4 linked regions of the Drosophila melanogaster genome follow. The protein of the gene in region 1 interacts with the protein of each later gene in a pairwise test. Each region holds a gene or a part of one and is shown on either strand. Other genes may lie near its edges.

What was found.
Region 2: the proteins of CG43183 (region 1) and CG32204 interact in a two-hybrid assay, tested with the Drosophila melanogaster proteins (one large-scale study listed by BioGRID).
Region 3: the proteins of CG43183 (region 1) and CG33143 interact in a two-hybrid assay, tested with the Drosophila melanogaster proteins (one large-scale study listed by BioGRID).
Region 4: the proteins of CG43183 (region 1) and CG6845 interact in a two-hybrid assay, tested with the Drosophila melanogaster proteins (one large-scale study listed by BioGRID).

The regions. Positions count from the first base shown.
Region 1 is NT_033778.4:8,590,280-8,593,470, reverse strand, and holds CG43183 (uncharacterized protein), read right to left. Parts: upstream 1,277-3,191; 5' UTR 1,151-1,276; coding exon 1,027-1,150; intron 976-1,026; coding exon 887-975; intron 830-886; coding exon 697-829; intron 638-696; coding exon 567-637; 3' UTR 502-566; downstream 1-501. Other genes in the region: CG14752 (uncharacterized protein), read right to left, coding at 1,651-1,906, 2,387-2,448, 2,881-2,901.
Region 2 is NT_037436.4:18,943,016-18,948,050, forward strand, and holds the start of CG32204 (uncharacterized protein), read right to left. Parts: upstream 3,024-5,035; 5' UTR 2,718-3,023; intron 1-2,717.
Region 3 is NT_033778.4:22,612,501-22,617,384, reverse strand, and holds the start of CG33143 (uncharacterized protein), read right to left. Parts: upstream 3,058-4,884; 5' UTR 2,664-3,057; intron 1-2,663. Other genes in the region: tous (testes of unusual size), read left to right, coding at 4,165-4,364, 4,423-4,506, 4,595-4,884.
Region 4 is NT_037436.4:144,812-149,574, forward strand, and holds CG6845 (uncharacterized protein), read left to right. Parts: upstream 1-1,621; 5' UTR 1,622-1,692; coding exon 1,693-1,895; intron 1,896-1,960; coding exon 1,961-2,271; exon of another isoform or gene 2,272-2,326; coding exon 2,327-2,587; intron 2,588-2,641; coding exon 2,642-2,855; exon of another isoform or gene 2,856-2,918; coding exon 2,919-3,072; intron 3,073-3,124; coding exon 3,125-3,602; intron 3,603-3,650; coding exon 3,651-3,834; intron 3,835-3,892; coding exon 3,893-4,030; intron 4,031-4,083; coding exon 4,084-4,159; 3' UTR 4,160-4,245; downstream 4,246-4,763.

The sequences.
Region 1 (3,191 bases):
GAGATCGTAGGAAGGGAGAGATCGGAGCGGAGCGGACGCGGACTGGCGGTCGACCTCAGTCGGAGCTGGTCAAGTGAGTGCTTTGTGAAAGTCGTTCTTGCAAAACTTCGGCTTAATTGCCGCCTTTGGGAGACCGGCCCAAGGTCAAGTGCAACTGCAAATTACAGTCTTGCAGTGGGATTAACTAATGGAGCAATGATCCAATCGAACCTATCACATTCCCGACCAATTCACCTGAAATATGCGTGCAATCATTGCTTTATTTATAATCAATATAGCATTGCCCCATTTTTTTTGCTCTTTTTTGGCAGTGTGTGAAAAAAGTGCAACTCACGAAAGTAATTTTACAAACAAATGTAATGGGAAGTGATTATGGGAAACTTATTGCATGAAAAGGAATATTCGAATTCTTGGAATCCAAAACGATTGAACCAAATGAGATGAGATATAGTTATTTCGGTACTCTACGATGATTATTCCACTTAAAATGCAGATCGATTTGTAAAAATTCAAGTACTTTATTGCTACAATCACAGTACAATTTATTACTTGGCAATGGATCACATTCAGATGAAGAGAGGTCCTCCTAAGGCGGCGTAAAAAGAGTACGCCACTAGCCAGGAATAAAGGCAAATAACTGAAGCAATGGGGAAAAATTAAGGGATTGTGAAATCTTAGATACACTTAGCTACTTACAGAACATTATAGCATACGTGATCATTACCCAGAAACAAACGGCGAGTATGACGTCGGATACTATCAATATGAGCATTGCTACCGCCATGATCATAGTCATTATTATGTAGAAGAGCATCCAGCTGCTCCGTAACTAGATCAAATCATAAGTATTATAATTTGAAACTAATCAATTGTACTGGTATCTCACCCGTATACTGCCGATGATCAGGAAAACGCAGCTCAGGATGTGCAGCATAACGAAGATAATGAATAGGGTGTGACCCAAATCGGGAATACCTATGGGTGTTAGGATCATATCCTTGCTCTCAAGTATCCTGCTTCACTTACCCGACTCCCCAAATAAAGCAACAAATGTGCCTCCAAGGATATCCGCTATAATGTGCAAAATCCCTATTGCTATGGTTCCGATTCGCAGATCCACGCAGCAGCAGCAACTCTGTAGATATATCATGGTGCAAATGTGGTAGTGTGTCTATTTGTGGCTATTTGCTATCAGGGTATTAGTATTTGAGTATCTGAGTATATGGGGTTTTTATTTTATGTGTACAAGTTCTGTCACTGATAACAAAAATCTTTTGAAAAATATTACTTAACAAGTAGGTTATATTCTACCATCTTATATAGTATATAAATATAGAGATAAGCAAGTTTCGAGTCTTCAAAAGTAACCATCTATCCTAATCGCAACAACTTAAAAAGCCTCAAATAACAAAATCGTTATTTCATTCCCATTAAAAGTATTTGGTTTATTAGATTACTTGTGAGCCATCAAACACTAAGGTTCCACTTCAGGGAATCCTGCCATAAATACGCCAGGATTGTTCTGTGTACAGTCGAATTGTGATTTATTTACATTCATTAACTTAGCATTGTACAGTATTTACAGGCTGCTTCAGATGGGACTGGCTGAGTGGGTGGGTTTGAAGACAAGCAGGCCAGCGGGCAGATGGCTTACAGCCAGCCGTGTCCGTGGTGGGAGCTCCAGCCGTGGTGGTCGTGGTGGTCATCGAAGACATGGTGCACCGGGATCTCCTCGTGATGGACGTGGTGCACCGGCACGGGGATCTCCTCGTGGTGGACGTGGTGCACGGGCACCTCCTTGTAAATGGGCACCGGCACGTGCTTCACCACCGGCACATGGACCTTCTGAACGTGATGGTGGTGCACCGTGTGCACCTTGTAGGGCACGTGGATGGTGTGGTGCTCGCTGCGGATCGAAAGTGAAATCGGTTAGATCGAATGCCATGTACCATCGCCTGTTAGCTAATCAGTTGCTTGAACCCAGCGTCTTGGCAGACATGGCTATTGCATATTGGCTATTGGCAATTGGCAATTGATTCGCACAATTATGCGCGCATTACGCTGAATTAAATGCCAACCGCCGCCTGCGAAATTCCTAAGCCGCGAGCCAAGCCAAGTCGAGATCGGCTAAGTTCAATGGTAGCCAGTGGTGGGCACCATATAGAGACTGCTGGAGGGGGCTGGGGCTCTAAGTGCTACAAGCGTTTTGATTGCTCAATTCGATCGCAATCGGACACATATTTCATAGACCCACGGAGCAGTCGCAGCGTTTAAAAAGCCATGCGACCGCTCGTTAGCTTAGCATAAAGCGGGAAATGGGTATTTTTATCGATTCGCTCGGGTTATTTATGGATCAGTTCAGGTGCAGATCGCCGCCGATACTCACTGTTTGCCAAAGAAGCCGGGACTGGGTGCGCAGTAGGCCACGGCGAAGAGGGCGACGAAGATCTGAAAGGGGATAAGGAAGTTAGTAAGTTAGGTCCGGCTAGATTAACGCAAATAGCTAACTAATCAGTGTGATTAGTTTTAATTTGGCACTTCAAAATTTATGTTCAATTCTGGTGAAATCTAAGTAATCTAATGAAATGTTAGTCCGCGATTGATAAACATAAACTAATATTTTTGGGTGAATTTATATTTCTGCAAAATAAATGCTTTCGCAGTTTCTTGAAATATCTATTCGAGACTTTTTAAGCCATCAGGCGATCTTGGTGGTATATTTCCAATACTTCGGTTATCGAAGTCAGTTTTCAGTGAGTTTGTTATGTTTCAGTTGGTTAGTTTTATTCACGATAGTCCACATGAGTTTAATCCTTTTCAGCTCCATTCCGCGGAGGTTTGGCTTAACACTTTTTCGAACGTTATCCTTGTCGCACTTACGAATACTTTCAGGACGGACATGGTGGCTGGGCTGAGCTCTGCTGCACTCGAAAGGCGATACTAAAACCGGAGCACTGTCAGGTGGTGACTGATAACCACAGGCTGCGACTCATCCGTTTTATACCGGGCGCCAGCAGCGCTTTGTGTTGTTGCTGCAAGCCGACTGCGCTGCACGAGAAAGACGTGACGTCGGTGCAGCAACAACAGCAGCAGCAGCAGCAGCAACAACAGCAGCAGCAACTTCAACGGCCAAGCGAAAATAAGCATAACAGTGGACGCGCGACTGTTAACATGGCCAACATGGTGTAGTG
Region 2 (5,035 bases), on another chromosome or scaffold:
CACTGCGTGAGTTTCGAAAATTTAAGTGCACAAAGTGCTGTCAAGAATTAAGATCCTGACACTTTCGGTCGTTATTTTGTTCGTGCTCTTTTTATGGTTTTTATAAGTTCAGAAGTGGTTAAAACGCATTGTGTTTGGGCAAAAAGAACAGTGAAACTACTTTATTAAATCACCTTAAGTGAGAAAACATTATGCTTCTTTACTCTGAGATCATAACGCGTTATATTGGATTTACTTCGTATATTGTTATATTGAATGTGAAGTGCATTTACTTTGCTTTTCGATTTTCTGCCGAGGACACATTGATCCCTTTTCAGTGCATAAGGACTCGGTGAGCCCTCCGAAAAAGATTTGCACTTTAGTGCAAGGAAGTGCAGAAGACAAAACTTTTGCACGCTATTTTTATTAGTGCCCCAGAGAGAAAAAGTACAGTTGAAAGTCTGCAAAGCATTTTTCTAGATTTCCATTCTGATGCAGTTTTCGCGCACTTTTTTCTTAGCCTCAACAGAACTGAACTAAACTTAAACGCATTGGCATCCGTTTCTGGTCGAAAGCGGTTTATTGCTAAAGAAAAAAACTTAAATAAAGTGGAATTACTTGTTTCAGGGGGTTGATGCCAAGGATTCTCAGGCGCTGAAAGTCGAGTCTATTCCAAAGAAGTATTTTGCATATTCATTCTGCGCTACTTTGTCGCTACTTGAAAATTGCGATTGACGGGCCAACTCTTGAGTTGATGGAAAAGTTTTCGGCCCAAGGACCCCGTGCTTAAACCTCTTCTTTAACAGATTCAAGCTTTAGACTTGTCTTCAATTAAATGTTCTTTAAAACGAATTCATTGCGGAACTTGTAATATCTGGAGCATTACCCTGAATAATTCAATAAATATTTTCATTTCCAATTATGGCAAATGGCGTAAGTTCACTGGGGATTTTTTTGGTCATTAAAGTTTCCCCCGCCCGAATTAATTGCCCCTAAAACTTACTGGCAACACAAATATTATTTTATGTATTTTTTCGGAAGCCAGCGTTGATATTAAGAAAAGTTTGCCCAAGAGGCGTGGCGCATTTTCGTTGGTGTGGCCTGTTCCACTAATGAGCCTATTGTTCGGCAGATAAAACGTGGCTAACTTGGGGCCCAGAGGAACAGGAAATGGCTGTTGTTGTTCCCGAAGTTGTTGGCATTAGCGGAAGGGTTGAGCTTCGGGCGGGAAAACTTTGGTTGGCCAATATGGGTGGGCAGACTTGTAAGTTTTCGAAATTTAAATATGTAATTAGCTACTATTTATTTCGATACAAGAACATTTCAACGAGCTCTTATTGTATGTTTTCTAAAGTTCAAACTTTTTATATTAAATACCATTAGCTTTTAGATTTTAGATTGGCAGTGTGCATATAGAATTGTGAAATTTGCATTCACATTTTCTTTGAAGTTAATATGACAATCAAAGTTTGTTTTTATAATAATACATATTAATTATATATTTCATAAGACGATGGCTTTATTATCAAAGTTTCTCTTTAATCCCAAGCATTTCGAGCTTGAGTCATTTCCCTCTCATAAACGCAGTTAATTGTTTTCAGTTTGCATTACTATTAGTTTTTTATGAACTTTGCCAGCAGCTGGCAAAACAATTTGCCCGCTGCCTTGTCTATCTAGCATCCATTCAGCCCCATTCCGCATCGCCCATCCTCTTTTTCCCTGGCTCTTTTTCTGTGCGAAGGGTCCTTGGTGATCTCCTTTAAAAACGAAAAGGAAACTGAAATTGTAATTAAATTTTTGCCAATTCGTTTAATTGAGTTTTAAGCCGCAACTTCTGAATGCCCGAAATTGAAAGTACCCTCCTGCAGACCCACAGCCACTTCTTAAACCACTCTCTCTCTGGTGAACTGCTTAAATATATTTGCCTGATGTTGGCTCGGTTGTGGTTCCAATAATATTTTTTATACATTTTACGACCGCTAGCTGCGACTGTTTGGGCCGTAATTAAGTGCGTCTAATTTGTGTTAAGCGCCGTGCCACTTGAGCATCGCTTTTACTTTTCGTGCTCCAAATTTATTTTTTATCCCAACCTTGGTCCTGCGTGCTTAACTTAAGCCCATACGTTCCACCAGGCCAACAGTAGCTGCAAAACTCAAAAGACCCATTTCGGAGCGGGCTAAAGGCAGTCGAAACAGGGCTTTAAAGGTTGTCTGGGTACAAACTGCCGTTAAATTGCCACTTCCCCCTGGGATTTTATACCGTTTTTTTTTTTGTGAAATGGAGGCAGACGAAATAAAACATTTTTTGAGTGATTTCTGTATGTGATTTCGGTACGCTTCGCAGAATTTTGAACGAGTGTTAGGGGCTGAAGTGCATGAATATCAACTTTTAAATGAAAAGGTATTTTGCACTTGTATATTTTGAAGAGTAAATGAAAGTGATTTTGAAGTGAATAACAGTTGCTGAAGACCTTAGATTAAAACTGTAAAAAACTAAGGACTATTTAGCTAGGCTTATTTGTTGCATTTGTTTAGTAAATATGTTGTGGATTAATCCTTGAACATTTATAGGTCCTACCACTTTTACTTTTAAGCTGCCATCTGCTTAATTTTATCTCATGGCACATTAAAACTTTTTCTTCTTTCAGCATTTGTTACCTTCCTAATTAGCGCATTTCCTCTGGGGTTTTTTAATTTGACTCAGCTTCTATAGCTCTTTTTACGCTTCTTTTGACTTACCTCATTTGTGGAGCTTCGGTTTATTAATTCACCAATTGTAAAGTTTATTTGAGTTTCACACTTTGCACTAACAAAACACTTTCTGTTTGCTTCGCTCAGTTTTTTTCTCCGCGCAAAATTAATTGTATATCCAATTTGTTTATTCCCACTTTTTACCGGCGAGTTGCGGTGAGAATTTCGTCTGTTTTCTGAACTGTTACTTTCATATATTCGGTCTTGTTGTTTTTGATTGTTTTGGCTTTAATGACGAACGCAGCTCTCGGATTTTGCTGCTGTCGTTACGCGACCGAAACGGTAACTGCTCGAGTTTTTATCAGTGCTCTACGTTTATAAGGAAAATCCGAGTGGAGCTTTTCCCGAAGAGCTTTCCTCTGGCGAGAGCGTCGGAAAACGAACGGAAGAGATACATTTTGACCAGTTTTCATGTTTAGACCAAATCACAGGATACCTTCCCCCTGTTTGCCGTCAATTGTTTTAAGTGCAACATATCGAAGCCAAAGTCAAACACAAACATTTCACATTCTTGGCAGCTTGTGTTCCACGCTTCCTGTTCAAAAAAAAAATAAGGAAAATCGGAAAACGGAGGCAAACAAAGTGCAAGGAAACTGCATGCAAATGATTTCTAGCTTATAAATTATGCAGGTGAGAAGAGCAAATAGTGTCTGCCAAAAACAGGAGAAGAAAAGTTGGAAAAAGTGCAGCAGCCGCAAGCAGTCGAGCAAATAAACTTCAATTTATCTCGACGTGAGTTTTGGTTTCTGACGGTTCCATATGGTTGCTTTTCGTGGTCTTTCCTTTGTTTTATAGCAAGGGTTTTGTTAAATTATCTGGTAAGAGTAATATAAAGCACGAAAAAAATTTAAAGTACGAGTTGGCTATCTGTTTTTTATAGTTCTCTATTTATCTACATAATAAAAGTTTTCAAAAATGGAATTATATTGATGTTACTACTTCCAATAACATTGTTTTTTTTCGAAAAAAAAAACTGGATTCAGAGTGTGCCGGAAAACGTACAGTTCACTTACAAAAAACAAATTATTAAAGTTGAACTTTCTCTCTGGCTCCGTAATTGAACGTTTCGGTGTGCATTTTGAGCGGAAGCGGAAATGCCGGCCATCGCAAAAAGTAAACCAGCGTGATGGAAGAGGCCAGCGTGTTTTGCCACTGGCGATTTCGTTTCGGCCTCGTTCCAATGTTCTTACAGGCTTTCGCCTCCTTGTTTTTGTGGGTCCACAGCTCCTGTGTCATATGCAAATTCCAATTCGTGAAAAACAGACGAGGGAGGAATATGAAAGGTCGGGAGGAGCGGTGGCAGCGAGCTAGGAATATAAATATCGATTAGATAATATCAAACTAGATGGCAGGCTGACAAGGACCTTAAGGCGGCATTGAACTTGTCTCGCCGCGAGGGAGAAGGAGCGAGTGTTTCCGGTCTCTTCATCTCCCTCTCGCGCTCTCTCTCTCTCTCTTTCCACACAAACACACTCCAGCAATTGCCTTGCATGATTTAATTATTTGTAGCATACTTTTGTGCGCCGACCAAAAACTTCACACCTGAATGCACAACAAAGTGGGGGGCTCAAGTGGTTCATCGGCCGAGTGGTGCAAAACTTTTGCCACTTTTGCCACTTTTGCATTCAGGGCGCTGCAGAGCACAGAAGTTGTTGTTGAAGGACCTCCGAACCTCTGCGGTTTTCGGCCGGAGGATCCGGGTTTTTCTATGCGAGCCCGAATGTCTCAATTCATTTTACGCCACACTGCGCCCCAAGTGGAGCGCACCATGCAAAAAAGGGCTGCCGATGCGGGTTTCGGGCCACGGGTTGTGGGATACCCCTCAATCTGTAATCTTTATGGGTCTCTCACTAATGTGGTAATCAGGCATCCGTTGGATTGTTACTTAGTATATTAATAATCTTCATTAATTATTTACAACAAGTTGCAAGCAAGTTTGTATCTGTTGGATGCAGTGCTACTAACTACCAGCGTATTCAAATGATTTCCAATCACTGGGTATCCCCAATTCGACATATTCAACTTGGGTGTAAATTCTTGATCTGAATGGGTTTCGGGTCTGCCATTTGAGACGAAGAATAAAACAAAACAGAATTTGTGGAAGGGCGGCAGCAAAAGTGCAAGCAACGCAGAAAAGGACTTTGGCATCATTACAATTTGTTGATTTGCTTCGTTAAACAGCAAACAACACTGGCGAAAAGCGGGGGAGCGAAGGTGCGGACTGAAATTGAAACAACAGCGACAGTTGAATGAATCAGGGAGCATAAAGACCCGAGAAATTAACGCCAAGTCAGCCCCAAGCATCG
Region 3 (4,884 bases), about 14 Mb from region 1:
CCCGCGCCATATATTCCCAGCCCGGCATATTGGTAGTCGCGTGTGGCGCGGTGTGTGAGCGCTATTAACAAAAAGGTCAACTTGGTCGCTACAATTGAAGCCCGAAAGCCGAGAGCCAAGCCAAAAGGAAAGGAATGGAATGGAGAGGAAAGGAAAGGGCTAGGAGAAAATGGGAAATACCGGGGCAAAGGCTTGTGTGTGCTGCGCTTCAGCTTTTACACCGGTGCACACTGCTCAAAAGTCAACATTTGACCTGGAACTAATGACTAAACTGGCAAGCCAACATGGCGGATGAGCAATAATGCCAGTCCAAGAGCCATATAAAGCCTATCAGTGTGTGTCTCAGCAACTGCAACTTAAAATAAGCTCATTATTAAATTATATGTTTTATGCGTATTAGGAGTAAAATTTTCAAAAAAATTTTAAATTAGGAAATGACCTGAAATTTAAACCCAGCACGTCATGATCTATAATTTAGTGTTGCTTGAAGTTAAATAGAGTTTGTGGTGAACAATAAGAAATTTTTCCCAGTGCAGAGTGTATATTTGTACAAGTGCGAGCACTGGTGTGTGTAAGTGAAACGTTTCGGAGCGAAAGAGATGGCGAAAGAAAGGGCGGGCGCATGCTATTATGTCCTGGCGGTAAAACAAAAAACGAAAGGCTAGAGAAAATAAGGGAAAACACTTGACTCCAATTTCGGCGAGATTTTCCACAGGTATGCTGGGAACAGAAGATGTGGGGAAGGTCGCTGATGAAAGGAGTGCAGTGAAGAGTTGGGGGAAATGCGGGAAACAGGCTGCCAAGGATGATGATAAAAAATTAAGCGCGTAATGGGAGGCTAAAGTTGGCTTTAATTGAGTACTACTTTCAGCTTAAAGCTCGCGAGGATGGGAGCTGATAAAAAAATAATTGCAACAATGAAAGTTCAACATGGTATCATTTCAGATTCTCTGCAGGATTTTTCTTTTCCGCAATGCGCAGTTGAGTGTGAAAAGTTTGAAAGTTAAAATACAGTCTCCGAAAAATATAAACTTTTTAGCACAGTAAAATAGTAAAAAAATACATTGACAAGATAAATAGTTTATGCTTCTCGCATTTAACAAGCCAATTAGATTACCTCAGTTCGAATGGCTAAGTTACCTGTAAACATTTCATTCCAAATTTTATTCTTATGACCGTGTAAAGAAAGAATTTTTGATTGGACTCAAGTTTTTATGGGATAATCAAAATAATAGCTTTCGATGTGTGTACACTTCAGCTTATTATGATCTCCATTATGAGAAAACTTCACGTTGTTCTTTAGACTTTTTGATGGATTTCTTCGTGCTGTTTTTATTTATGCGTAAACTCATTCCATTACGATGAAATTTTGTTTATTTACAGATTGCTAATGAGCACAAACAACTTTCAGCGATGAAGAAATTTCCATTTATAATCGGTCAAACTTTGCGGCATTTTGCTCGACTTCGTGCGAGTCCACAAATACGGGGAGCGAGTCGTGTTAATATATATATATATGTAAACATATATAGAATCGGTGCATATATCTAGATGTACTGCCACATGGTGGAGCAATGCACGCAATGCGGCGACTGTGGTTGCGACGGATTTAAATTTAAACGAACATTTACGTTTTCCGGGCATTTTGCCGCCGATCCGATTTTCATTTGACCTGTTCTAGTTGCGGTGAATGTGCGGATATCGGTATAAATATGCATATATACATACATATACGATTCTTTGTGGAGAACGATTTGTTTATAATAACCTACTACGTGCGACTCGCTACGGTTCGAATGGCCAAATAAAACAGGGGAAATTGAGAGATGAAAAAGATTTACAGCAGTGCAAGGGCGAGGTATTAACCCACACAAAAATTCAAAAACACACAGGTTAATTGTGAATTCGCTGCCTGTTTTCGCAAAACAAACGAAACAGGAGCATTAAAATTACTTTTTAATTGCCACAGCTGTGCTGCTTTTCAGGTTGAGTTGCTGGCTGACAGAGTCCATTAGGCCATTTTCCATTCCATTTCATTTGCGTTTTCATCGCACATTTTCCGTTCCCTTTTTTCCCAGTTCCGATTCTGATTTGCGCAATTTAATTGGCTTAAAATTCAGTTGCCTCCTTGAAAACAGCCGCAAAGGACTCAGGACTCAGAAGTTTTCACTGTTAATTGAGCGACTGTCACAGAATCACAAGCACACCTACTTATGTACACACAGAAAAGAAATTCGGAGATCCGATGGCTTTCACATTTGTAAGAACTGTGGCACGAAGTTATTTTTAAGCCCAAGCATTGATTGTTTCAAAATAGTTTTCAAATCATTCGAGAATAACCAGACAAGTATTCGGCCAAGTCGTAAATCGATAGAGAACAATAAAAGTGCTATAAGGCCATTTAATAGTTTTTCTAGATCAATAATAATATTAATTACAATGTAACTTTGAGTATAAACTAGCTTCCAACTATCTGTTATATATGAAAAAGAAAAATATTGCTTCAGATAAATGATAACTGTGTGGAAATTCTCTCGTCCAGTGGACAAACAAAAGTTTTAACAGCTCGCGGCACGTTTGAAATCTGCAAAACACACACAATTCAGCCCTCAAAGGCTATGTACTGTCACACAATTTACAAGTTCTTTTTTTTTTTTATTTACTTTTTGCCGTCGGACTCTGGTTAACCGGCTCGGCCACCTGCTAGTGACACGCCTCTCCGGCTCGCCGCCTCCTCCGTGCGGGTCGCGAGCCTGGATACAATACTGATTTTGGTTTTGAATCCGATGTGGATGCTGATGCGAGTGCGGATGAGGATTCGGAATCCCAGTCCCTGGCCCGATCCCTACTCGCAATCGGAGGTGGAAAGGCGTGCATCCACTGATAACGGCGAAAACAAACACTTCACTGCGCTCAGTTCTCAGTTGACTGTTGTCTGCACTCGGCTCTCTGCCCGATTAACTGTGCTTTGGAGCCACTGCCTTTCGCTTGCTTTCACTTCCGTTTCCGGTTTCCGTTTGCTCGTTGTGCTGCGGCCGACGCGAAAACTACTACTGAAATGGACAGCGGAAAATGAAAACGAAACTGAACCGAGAAAGCCGAAAGAGCGAAAGCTTTCCACGACAGCGGTGCACGGATTGGAGATGCTTATTTGACTATTTTATGGCTAATTCGAAGGGGGTGTACTTGATGGAAATCTTTAATGAACTACAGACAAATTTGAAATTGTTGTTATATTTTTAAAAAAATTTTCTTTCTGATATGTCTTTTCTAATTCTAATAACTATTAATCACAAAAGTACCGCCAAAGTTCACCCCAACGTAGTTGAGTTTGAAATTATTCTATTGGACAATACTGCTATTAAATACTTTATACACATGAAAATTGTGTTGTCTGAAAGGAAAACCATTAATCAAGCCAATTCCCCACCCAATTTATTTCCCCAACTGGGAGAGCTCAAACCATTTTCGGCATATCCAACTTGTAGGATTGTGGACACAAAAGCTTTCCCCCTTTCCCAAGAATTTCCCAGCTGAAGAGGGGCCGAGCAGCTTTTCTTTAACTAACAATTTCTTGCGTTAGGTCGTGTTCGCAGTGCCAAGGAGACGATAGCCGCCAACTACTTGTGGGGATTTTGGGGGATGACACAATGCTTGGAGACCCAACTGACTGGCTGGCTGTCTGACTGGCTGATTGACTGACTGACAGAGTGACACAGTGACTGGCAGACCCATATTCAGCGAAAAGCGCATTGACAGAGTTCAAGTGCGACGGTGTGGCTGTTGCTCTATTGTTGGCCAGGAAACGAGCGCCGGTTTCGGCGGAAATTTCAATGTTGTTTTTATCAAGCGCTTAGCTTTCATCACAGACCCCTCCCTTGTCACTCGAGGGTTTAAATTAAAAGCATACTTAGCGGCGCTTAATTACTTATTCATGGACGCTCGCGGCTCCGTTCAGATTGGAATAGACCCAGAGCCTGGTGTTGTTAGGCTCTCACTCTCACTTCCCATGGATGCCATGGAGTTTGCTGTCGCTGGCAGGACTCCCTAACGATTTGCCCCAGGTTGTTTGATCGAATTTCAGTTCCTCCAATTTGTCTGTCTGCCAGCTAAAATTGTAATCCCGGGTCTCAGTGCATATATTTTGTACAACACTCAACGAGGATGGACGAAGCCAACAAGGAGGATGTGAAGCGAGCCTCTCTTTCCAACAGCACGGTGACAATAAGGCCACGTCTCATCTACGGACTGCGTTCGGATGTCATTGGCAACATCCACTTCAACCTGACCAAGGAGGTCATCTATCCGGTGGAGGGAGTTCTAGCGTTCCACGACTACGTCCAAAACAAGCAAAGGTTTCTCAGGTGGGTACTCCACGTTTTATAACTGTTAAGGAATATCTTAACCCTTGTAATCCTGCAGGCTGCCGGAGGATACGCGACCCGAGGTGATATCCATAAGTTCGCATCGCAAACTACTGGCGGTGGTGGAAAGGCACTCGAAAAAGTAAGAGCTTCATTTCAGATGCTTTATATTTTATATAACTCAACCTAACATAGTTCAAATGAATGGACTCTTTTTAACTTTCTATTAGTGGTCGGTATATATCCATTTATGAGTTGGCCACCCTGAAGAAGCGACGTCACTTGGAGCTGCCGAGCAACCATCGCAATGCGGAGATACAGCAGATGATCTTTACCAATGACTCCAGATCGGTGGCCCTGATCACCCGCCCGCCGGAGGAAACCCTTATTATGTTGGTGCTGGACAAGACCAGTACAGTGATCGAGGGCAGGGCCACAATCCCGGGATCTCATGGAGGCGCCGAGTGCATCGCTGGCAATCCAAACGATTGCAATTTTATGGCGGTCGGAGGCGAGCGCA
Region 4 (4,763 bases), on another chromosome or scaffold:
GAAACAAATTAGTTAAATGTTGTAAATGTCTAAGTTGCTACCACTGCTACTACTAGAACGCGCCCATCCCCTCCCATATTTACCTTTAAGCTACAGTAATTAAGTGATGAGCAGAGGTGTAGAGTAAGGAGTCGAAGTTGAAAGAAAGCAAAAAATACATTTTGTACATACATATCGCCGTTGGTCGATATACATCTAAACATAATTTAATTTTTTGTTACTTTTAAGTAAATTATTTTTGGCGACCTAAGTAAATTAAAATTAACGCAATATGCAACAACACACATAAGTATACAATTAATTAAATTAAACGAAAATTACGATTTATTAAACGATGTCATAGAACGGAGAGCCACTGATAGTGAGAGAAATCTGTAAAATAAATATTTAAACAAATTATATATTATCTATATATGAGTACCAGAACAAGAATGTCAAAAAAGAGAAGCATGTAAAAATAAAAAATATATTACGAGTAAAACAAAAAAAGATAATCGAGCGAAAGGAACGTATCATTAACAGGAAAAATTAAAGAAAAATACAAAAACATTTCAAAGTAACAAAATTACGATAAAATTTGTTTTTATTTTGGTTCGTTTGGTTATTACAATTGGCAATATCTAACTGATTGGGTAATAAGTGCGCGTATCCCAGTATCCAACGTTGCAAAATGATACAACATTTCAATAGGTTTCAAAATCTACGTAAGATACACATAAAACGACCTGACTACTTTGTTCTACCCTACGCTTGTGCTGCAGTACCTAAAATCGAAGAAAGAGTACAGTGAACAGGGCTAAGATATAGAAAGACAGCTCTATTTCTGCAATCCAAAAAGGGCTTGCCCTAATTAAAATAATTGCAAATGCATTGCGCTTCAAATCCAGAAGCCTTTTTTACCTTTTATAGCCTACAGGAAAAAAGAAAAAAGAGGAGATAACGGAAAGACCCATAAAATCGAAAAGTGCATAGGTAAACCTGTAGGACGATTAGTGGAATACTAAAATCATCATATGTTTTAATCAATAAGTATTCCAATTTTACCAGGGGCAAGTGTATGCGAATTCTTTCAGTACGAGTATTTAATATATTTATTTTTATCATAATTGTATAAAAACCTGAAGCTCCAAAATAACTTGATCATTTTGAGAAAAATATTAATAAAAATTATTTTTTTGTTTATTTTCTTATTATTTAGTTACATATAATTTTATTTTATGTTTATGTTTTTATAATTTTTATTTTATTATTCATTATATTATAATAAATAGATTCGTTGAATAGTATTAATATTGGATTTGAATGCAGCGATGCGTTTTACGCATTTCAAATCCGAAACTCGCTTAGATCACACGACGTAACTTTATAAGATATATAAATCAAAAATAACTGTTATTTTGAAAGAGAAAAAATGATGTTGTTTGAAATAAAGGAACAAAAAAGCGAAAAACAGAAAAAGCAATCGGTTAAGTTTTAAATTCTTTTTGGGCGCCAAAAATGAATCGGATAAGCCAAAAACAACAAACAATAGGCTTTTCGATTTTAAGAAGGGTCACATTTCCGATAACAATGAAAACTCACATTTAAATTGGTCACACTAAGTGGGGCGCCAAGAGAAAATATCGATATCGATTCCGACTGTTGTGTTAGACTTTACAAATAAATTACAAAGAAATCGATCAAAATAAAATCATGGAAGAAAGTCAGCCAAGGTATGGCGCTATGTGGACATTCAAGCTGGTGGCACCATACGTAATTGGCGGCTACCTATGCGGCCTCGCGGTAACGCTCGCATGGAACTGGTGGCAGCTGGGCCACTTGGTTCTGGGTCTTAATCTCACCTTCGCGATTCCGGTGGCGCTTGTTCTGGCGGTCTTTTACAGCAGGCCCGTAAGGTAAGAACTACCTGAAAAAGCCCAAAACGATTTGTGTCTAACAGTGTTCCCTCACTGGCTGCCAGGTGCATTGTGACTTTGGCCCTTCCCTCGCTGTGCAGCTCTCGGGGAAGGGCGTTCCTCATCAGCCTTGCCTTTGTTATTGCCGCAGTTGGGCCTACGGCGAACATTCTAGCCAATTTGAAGGTGATGCTCCGCAGCCTCGCTTGCGGACAGGAGCTATTGCGTCAGGCGCTTGGCCAGATGTTGGACGTAATACTGGAGCCGGTGAATGCCATCCAGCTAGCGGTGGATCTCTTGATGCGGGAAGTGCGTCGGGTGCTCAAGCTGGCCATGGTAGTGCTGTTACGCATTCAGGACCAATTGATCGCAATTAGTGAGTATCTGTATTAAAAAGTGCTGCAGTTTTCTCTGCTGATTCATTTTTGTAGTTAAAACCCTGAAGAACTGCGCCGCTTGGCTGAAATCCATCGTAGACCTGTGCAACACAGAAATGGGCACTCCCTGGGCACGTTGCAAAAAGACGGCGCATCACGCAATGATCAGGTGCCAGTCAAAGATGGGCGTATTCAAGGCGCTATGCCATGCTGCAAAGCTGTTTCTGGCCCTCTGCTATCCAGCCAAGATCATCGATGTGTTTTGCAGCGGTTACTGGGATCTCAGCTGGGGTCTTCTTGATAAAATCGCAGAACGTGAGAGTGTAAACAACGATCGGTACTTTGGTTATTAGTTATACGATCTCGCAGGCTACCGTGAATTTGTGCGGCACATCGAGGAAATGTTTGATGCCAATATCACTTTTGAGCACGAATTTTTCTTCGATACAAACTCTTCAAAGAGCCTGACGGACGTGGGGGAGGAAATTTTACAGGATATTAACAAGCGTCTGTCGTCGTTTATCTTCTTGAGCAGCTTTGTGGACATTCTCTGCTGGGTCATGGTGGTTACTGTATTTTTTAAGTAGGCAAGAGCTTAATCATCTTATTAATTTAGTGTTGGTGATGCCTCAATTGTTCCCATCAGAGCCACCATCTTCTACCTTCGATATATGCACAGCCGGCAATTTCAGAATGTGTTCTTGACAAAGATACTAAGTGATATCGACCGGCGGCACGAAAAGCACGGTTACGATCCACTGCTACCCCTTCATCAGCTTGAAAGGGCAAAGTATATGAAGGTAAGGTTTCCCTACGTTTCCCTGACATAATATTACAATGATTTCATTGCAGCTTACTAGCTTGCGTTTGACTTTGTTTGAGTTCGTGTCCATTGTTGAGAACGCCTGTTTCATGGCCACAACCTGCTTGCAGTTGTTTGCGATTTGCTTTCTGGATTACGGGCTGTTCTGGCTGTTGGCAACTATATCCCTCCATGGCCACCAAGAGACTGGGCTGGAGGTGCCCGCTTACGTCGATCTAGAGATTAAGGGTGGGGGCTTTGTGGCGGATGTCATGCGGGGAATCGCTAATGCCTTTCGACCCTTGACGCAAAAAAGCATTTTAGACGTGAATCCTTGCCTCCCGCTGCCCGTGAAACCTGATTATGCGGAGTATCTAATTATATTATTACTCTGTCTGCTCGCTTGGCTGATCCTTTTGGCCGAGCCGTATATTTTGCGTACTCGCCATCTTATAATGGCCCACTTTTATCCAAAACGCGCCAAGGAAAGAGGCATGTTTCTGTACAACATGATTTCCGAAGATAGAAGTAAGAAAGTACATACCTTTTAAAGTTGTTCTAATGTATTCTCTCCAGCAAGCATTTTTAAGTTTATCCGCCGCAGAAAGCGTAATGAGTTTAACCACACACGGAATGTGAAGCACACCAGAAACTACACTTGGCTGAACAATAGATTCTCCTGTTTAATGTGCATGTGCTCCTGCTGCTCATCCTGTCAAAGCACTGAGAGGTGCACCATATGTGGCCGATCTCTGACTCTGTAAGTAACTCCAATCGTTAAACACACTCCGGGTTACAGTTGGATGTCCCCTTTTTAGTTCAAATCGTAACCCCTGCGACACTCCTGGATGCAAAGGGGTTTATTGCGGTAAATGCTTTGAAAAGTCACACAATAAGTGTTGTCTGTGCAATCGACCAGTGGATTATGGTGATTTTTCCGACGTTACTGAAGTAGAGTGAGTAAAAACCAGGGTTTAATCGACTATTCTTAATGGTTTTGTTTGTGCAGCGACTCTTCGGACTATTCTGAAAAAGAGTCTTTTAGCGAAAGGCAGTACAGGAAGACCTGTGGAGGACAACGCTAGCAACGAGGGAAAAACAGTTAAACATAGAGGTTGTGAGCGCATACACGTTATGCAGATAGCTCAGAAATATAATATTTCCACCTATTAAATACCTGATATTCCAACAATTTAATATATGGTTATAGGTGAGTTATTCAATAAAAATAACTCTTGTTATTGCTGATCTGATGTCAGTGCAATTCCTACCCTTCACCGCCCATGGAAGTCGCAATACGGGGACTGCGTTGTTTGGCGAGCTTCTGGGCTGAAATTATTATTTAATTAAATACTACAGCGACAAATGGCTACACAGCAATTCAGAAAATAACCTTGTTCTCACCCCTGTTTTCGATTTTTTCTTTTTTATCAAAGGCTTGTTTGCTTGATACCTATTTTTATTTCTTCTTGGGCTATGACTGTAACGTGCTGTTGAACATCTTCTCATTATTGTTGACTTTCTCTTTACGACTGTTTAATAAATTCTGCTCTTCCCCCACATGCGGCTTCCATTTACCAAGCTTATACGAGCATTTATTATATAACACCCGTCGACTTGCACCGATCCCTCTAGACCCTATATCGACCCCTATCCACTTGACCACCATCGTTGACAGTCAACCACACA